2 linked regions of the Callithrix jacchus genome follow. The protein of the gene in region 2 purifies or fractionates together with the protein of the main gene of each other region. This does not show direct contact. Links are inferred from orthologs where the notes say so. Each region holds a gene or a part of one and is shown on either strand. Other genes may lie near its edges.

Region 1 (3,169 bases), on a different chromosome or scaffold from region 2:
TTTGCATTACAAGTAGAATGGAATGCAGCTAAGTGTTTCTCAAAAAGGTGGGAATTTGAACTGGCCTTGGATGGAGTACAAGAAGCACAAAACTCCCTCTGGTTCTTTTTTGGGGAACCAGGATAAAAAAAAAAGCCTCTCCCACAAGTCTGTAGCTAGGTCAGCTAAGGAGAGGAAAGCAGCATTTTGAGATAACCCAATGTGAAATATTAGCAAGTTTAAGGCAGGGATTCTTTCATTTCTACCTCTGCCTAGTGACTACGACCATACTTGGGCCTTGCTTTCTGAATGACAGGTCCAGAAGACAACTACATTTTTCCCTTTGAAAAACAGGTCGTCTCTGAGTGAAGAGCAGCATGATCCATAGATATTGCTCATACTTAAAGAGGCTGTCCTTTACAAATCTTTGGATATTCACTGAGTCCATAATAGTTGAAGGCAAAAACCAATTTCAGAAACCCTAAACATTCTCAGCAAATAAGATCCAATACAGCTGAATATCTTACCTTGAGAACAAAGGCTGAAGTGATGAATCAAAAAGGAGAGCTCAGACAATTTTAGAACAAAACAGGTATATTTCTATTAGACTACCTGATACAGAAGATAGTGTGGTATGGATGGATAGTATGAATGACAAATAATACAAATATATTTTATTTGAAATAAAAATGCATACACAGCTCAATGGGTCACTGGGAAACAAACTGTTGCTTGACTATATTACTGAGCAAAAACAAAACTGAAGCACAAACACCTTTCTTTTTTGACATGTATCTGGAGATAGGTAGGAAGACACTACTTGATTTTTTAAAAAACTGACCTTCCCTTAAGGCCTGGTCATTGAAGTGTAAACAATGTAAATGAATCCACCATTACCAGTTGTCATATCATATCTATGTCACCTGTGTATTCTGAGATTACACACATACCTGCCAATATACCTGGGAGAGGTTATTTTATCACAGTTACACTTGAGTTCTTGGCAGGCAGGACAGAGGAAGAGTAATTTGAAATAAGTTTTACATCCTATTTAGAAGAAATCACTAGTATTTCCTTAAATAACAGGTTACAATAGAAAGATACTGCCTGGAAGTTATCCTTTTCACTTTGGTTCATTTTTAGTTTTTGTTTGTGATTTACATAGCTGTTTAATTCATTTGCTTATAGTACAATCCTGCCATAAAGTATTAAAGCACAAGATACCTATTATTCCTTCAACATCTGCATTTTTCAAGTTTTATACTCTATATCCACAGTACGTCAGCAGTTCTTGAATGTTTAAAAAAAATAAATGGGTAAAACCCTTCTAAAAATGCAGATATCTATAACTACAATGGTACTAAAATGGGAAGGAGACAATAAGAGAAGGGATAAAAGCAAACACGTTCATGTGCAGGGAATGTGGTTCAAGTCTTTGGATTTAAAAACAAGTTCCCCAGAGAAGCTGGCACTTCCTTTACCCTCCAAAAAGGACTTGAAAAGTCCCAATCCAAACTTTGGAAAATTACAGTTATGAGATGCAATAAATGATGATCGAAGCAGGCAGAGGGAGAAGGATGAATGTGTCTTCCATTTAGCTATAGATGTAGCATAGCCTTTTTAGGTGTTGGTGGATCAGTAAAAACCACTGAAGTACCAGAAGTGCTTGGAGCTTGGAAGGACGGGGTAGAAAGTAATGACCATAATACCTTGTCTACATCAGTAACAGGGTCATGGCTAGGAAACCTTTTTAAACAGTAAAATGTCTCTAGGATACATCTTTCTCTCTCCAACATTAAATGTGGCAGAATTAACAACAACAACAAAAAAACATTTACATGTAGATATAGCAATAACAGAAGATTACAAGGCAGAGAACACAAAAGAATCAAGACAATGCTATTGGTTCAACAGTATTCCTTGAGGCTAGAAAACTGGTTAACTTTGAAAGCCCTAGCAAAATATCACTCTTGTTTATAAATCACTTATTTATTATATGACCACACGTTGAATCCTTGTCTTTCTGCATACTGGAGAATTCTACATTCAGCCTTTAAGCATTCTGCATTTCTTTGCCAATCTTGTAGCTGAGTATCTTGTTCCAGTCGATTTTGGTGCGGGTAACGGGAAGCTGCCGGCGCAAGGCCTTGAATGTGGTATCTGACATTGTTTGATAGTTTTCACTAATTGCTGTCTGCAATAGATAATTGAAGATGAGTTGCTTGAACAGAAATGAGGCTGATTGTGAACAGGAAAGTAACGCTACAGTCAAAGGATATGCTTGAGTCCCCTATGAAGGATAGACAGGATATATTATTTTCAGTGAGCTCCTCTCCAACCTCTAAAGTAGGTCGAGAAGCTCACCTATATTATTTCTAAAACTAGAGCTACAGTCCCAAGCAATCCTGAAACCCTGATTGTAAGCAGAATGCCAAATTGGAAGGTCTGCAAAGTCTCCACATTTAGTAAAACTGAAGAGCATGTATATTTACATTAAAGGACACAGGGAGGCCTAACTATGTTAACAGCAAAATAGTAAGATAGTAGATCTAGAAAAATAAGCTCCAAATCTTCTTACCTGATACTCATTTTCTGCATTCTCTATGATTTTAATAAACTCCTTGGCAGTTTGGGCTTCATTCTAATGGAGGAAGGAAAAGCGGAAAAATCAGATGTTTTAAAATGTGTAAGCAGTAAGATCCTGAAAAGTAACTCCATCTTAACTAACATTTGTATAACAATTTCTAGTTTCCCGAGTGTTTCCATGCCCACTATCTCCTTTGATTCTCACGACTCCATGGAAGAGACTATGTTATAATCATAACCCCCATTTTGCAGATTAGAAAACAGAACCCTCTGTTTTCTTGACCCAAATTACAGTTTTTGAATGATAAAGATGGATTCTGAAATTAGGTCTTCACCAAAAAAACCATGCTCGTACCACAGAGTACACCCAAAAGACATCATCAAGTCTTGAAAACTTGACGCCCTGAAAATATTTCTGGTTAAAATGATGTGAACAATGCCCTCAGACACATCAGTTATACCATAAGCTCACATATCCTTTATTTGCCACTTAAGATGTTAAACTAGCCAATCACATTTTGTACTATGTGGCTCAAATATAAAATGAAATGAATCTCTCTCTTTCTGTTACCATTAAGTACAACAGATTTTTTTTAAGTTTTTT
Region 2 (3,651 bases):
CTGCCACCACTGGGTGGTGGTGAAGCCAGGAGGTCGTCTAGCCAGTGGGAGCTGCTTTCAGGCCCCGCAGGCTCGGGGGACACCCTACAGGAGTCTTGAGCCTCTGTCCTGGGTTCGGTGGTCTCGGCCAGAGCTAGGGTCACAGCCTCCTCCTCAACAGACAGGGCCTGCCCAGGCTCAGGGGCATCAGCAAAGAGAACACAGGGCTGGTCAGGTGGTGCTGGCTGCTCCTGCCCCAGGACTGGCTCCAGGACGGGCAGGGCTGCCTCCCTGGTAGCCAGAGGGAGAGGGAACTCCTGTCCAGCCAGGGGCTCCTGCAACTCACACCCCTCCTCTGCCTGCTGCAAAGGTAATCCAGGCATGCCCTCAACTGCAGGTAGGGGCTCAAGGGGAACAGCTGGGAACTGAGGTTGACTCTCCCCATCCCCCTTTTGGGTAAGGGACATGCTTGGATCATCCCCCTGCACCCAGGAACTAGGCCTTTCTGATCCACTTGGCGTTGACCAGGCCCCTTGCCCCTGCTTAAACACTCCTTCTTCTCTGCCGGACACGGCCAAGTTGCCAGCCTCAGCAGCCTCGGCGGCCTCACTGGCTTCAGTGATGGGAGAGGGAGGCGGGGAGTCCAGCCGCCACACTCCCAGACCCGAGGGCCGCGTGGGGAAGGTCCACTCGAAGGACTGTGATAAACTCCAGTTGGACTCTGCTCCAAAGGGATGATCCAAGGCCAACTGGCTTCCCTGGCCTTGGGGCAGGGCAGCCAGCGAGCCCCCCAGCTTCTCCTGGTCCTGGTTGGGTGACTGGAGCACACCTTCGGAGAATCGGCGCTGAACCAGGCTGGTGGGGCGGAGGAGTGCGTCACCCTTGGCCGCCTCCTCCCCACTAGATGGAAGCGTCCGAGTGAGATCCAGCAACTCACCCACCTCGATCAGGGGCTGGGACGAGGTGGCAGGGGGCTGTTCCAGACTGTGGGGCTCCAAGACCTCATGGGGAGGGCTGCTGGGTCTGGGGGCCTCTGGGGCCCCTTCAGCTGGGAGCTCTGGGCTGGGGGTGTGGTGGGAGCCTTTGTCAGGTAGGACTGCACTTGGAGCTGATGGAGTCCCAGCAGGGCAGGGAGAAGCCTGGGAAGCTTCAGGACTCTGGGCTTCCAGAAGCTGTGAGTGGCAGGGAGAACTCTTATTGAGTGAGTGAAGATGGGGAGAGCCAGGGCCTGGGCCTGAGGCTTCCAGCGGGCAGCCTGGGCTGGCAGAGCCTCCATTCTCAGAGGAGGGAGGTGGACTGGAGGCAATCCAGGGCTTGGAAATCTGCAAAAGAAAGATCAAGTGCCATTACTCACCTCTCAGCGGGGTGGGGAGGGTCCCCTCCAATCCCACACAGACCCCAGGTCAGCTTCTCACAGGCTGGGAGGAGGAAACTGGAACCCCAGGAAGTCTCTCGGGGCTGCTGGGAGAGGCCCCACAGAGGACTTGAGGCAGGGCTTCTCACAGAGCCCCCCTTAGACCTGCTCCCCAGAATGCACCTCGCCTTATTCACTAAGCATAATTCCTGACATTTCAGGTGGTTTGAACCCCTCACCAGCTCAACCCAAAGCTCATCTGAGGATCTCCTCAGAGGCCCCAGTTTGGGGTCCAGAATATTTGCTTTATAAAGGGAAAAGGAAAATTGGGAATCTGACTCTCCAGGCATCTCAGCAGGTGGAATTCGGGAGGGGAGAGAGGGTTTTTGCCTCAGAGCAGAACTCGAGGTGCAGTGCAGCCACAGAGCTGCTCACAGGAGGGGCTAGGGCATGCAGGGGCACTCCTCGTGCCACTCCAGAGGTGCCAAGGAGGCAGGAAGGCCGTGAGACCCAAGCAAAAGGCACTGGGGGACCTGACAGCACCTGGCCCGAGCAGTCACAGTGCTAGTTTGTTTTTGTTTTCGTTTTTTTGAGAGGGAGTTTCACTCTTGCTGCCCAGGCTGCAGTGCAATGGCATGATCTCAGCTCACTGCAACCTCCACCTCCCAGGTCCAAGAAGTTCTCCTGCCTCAGCCTCCCAAGTAGCTGGAATTACAGGCATGGGCTACCATGCCAGGCTAACTTTTCATATTTTTAGTAGAGACAGAGTTTCTCCATGTTGGTCAGGTTGGTCTCGAATTCCCGACCTCAGGTGATCCACCCGCCTCGGCCTCCCAAAGTGCTGGGATTACAGGTGTGAGCCACCGTGCCAGGCCAGTACTGCCTCTTAAAAGATGTGCCCTCCCTCAAGTATGGTGGACTCTTGGTCTCTCTGAGCCTCGGTTTCCCCATCTGTAAATTAGGGCTGATGGCAACCATGCCCAACTCCCAGTGAGGTGAGGGGTAGGAAAATGTGTGCACTGGTCCTCAGCATAGGATTTGTGGGATGATGGGGGCAGAGAATGGGGGCGTAGAGAGAAGAAGGGGGCAAACGAGGCACCAAGCACCTGGCACTCCACCTGTCCCCCGACAATGAAGCGAGTCTGGCTCCACCTGACCTTTGCCCTCTGCAGAGGTCAAGCTTCCCTGGCCACCCTCTCCCATGCAGCTGCTTCTCCCACTAGGTAGGGCAAAATAACGGGTCCTGCTTGCTGCTCAAGGTCCCTTCTGTTCCCTCCATGCTCAATCCCCTCTACAGCATTCTAATTTCAAAGCCTGTGCCCTTGAACTACAGCACCCATAATTCCTTCTTGTTATCGATCCTACACACCCATCATTCCTTGAAAACCATAACCGATGGATCACTGCAACCCTCTCCAGCATTGCTGTGACAGCTTACAGTGACCTCCATAGCCGGATGCGACCCTTCCAGCCTCTGGTTCATTGCCTTCCTCTTTCCCAGAGACTGCGTGACCCATCTTTTCAAGGTCATACTGTAGACCTCATCCTTACCAGTGGCTGCACCCCCTGCATCATCTCAATCCCAAATACCCCGCTCACCCACCCCCACTGCCTATCTGTCCAGCTCACTCTATTTCCCCAATGCCCTCATTTTGATCCCTCTGGTAGCACAGTCCCTTAACACTAATTCTTTCTCATTGTCCCCACGCTCCCCTCATACCCTCACCTCTATTCTTATCGTCATTAAAGTCACTTATTTTTTTTTGAGACAGAGTCTCACTCTGTCACCCAGGCTGGAGTGCAGTGGCATGATCTCGGCTCACTGCAACCTCCGCCTCTTGGGTTCAAGCAGTTCTCCTGCCTCAGCCTCCTGAGTATCTGGGACAACAGGTGCACACCACCACACCTGACTAATTTTTGTATTTTTAGTAGAGACAGGGTTTCACCATGTAGTCAGGCTGGTCTCGAACTCCTGACCTCGTGACCCACCTGCCTCAGCCTCCCAAAGTGCTGGGATTACAGGCGTGAGCCACCGCGCCTAGCTAAAGTCACTTTTTACCCAACGCTCCACTCCCCCATCTGCTTCATCACACTGTCTAACCTGTTTTAAACACAGCTCTCCAAGACATCTGGGCCAGTCCTAGCCCCACACCTGAGCAGCTACATGTGGCTGGAGAAAAACACACAACCATGAAGGCTGGTCTCCCTTCAGATTCAACACTGACCTCGAGCCGGCCCTAGAGCTGCCCAGAATCCCCGGGCACCCCCCCTCCTATTCACTGCAGGACTCTCCCAGGCAACGGTTTAGCATCTTCTCC

Evidence for each region. Proteins that work in one complex are often made in the same cells at the same time.
Region 1: the proteins of TNKS1BP1 (region 2) and CAPZA1 purify together in Homo sapiens (affinity purification with mass spectrometry; 3 studies listed by BioGRID and IntAct, with this or other methods). This does not show direct contact. The link is inferred for Callithrix jacchus from reciprocal best matches to the Homo sapiens genes TNKS1BP1 and CAPZA1.

What each region holds. Positions count from the first base shown.
Region 1 is NC_133508.1:150,629,906-150,633,074, reverse strand, and holds the end of CAPZA1 (F-actin-capping protein subunit alpha-1), read right to left. Parts: intron 2,621-3,169; coding exon 2,558-2,620; intron 2,174-2,557; coding exon 2,033-2,173; 3' UTR 556-2,032; downstream 1-555. UniProt on the Homo sapiens protein: F-actin-capping proteins bind in a Ca(2+)-independent manner to the fast growing ends of actin filaments (barbed end) thereby blocking the exchange of subunits at these ends.
Region 2 is NC_133511.1:114,883,368-114,887,018, forward strand, and holds part of TNKS1BP1 (182 kDa tankyrase-1-binding protein), read right to left. Parts: intron 1,302-3,651; coding exon 1-1,301.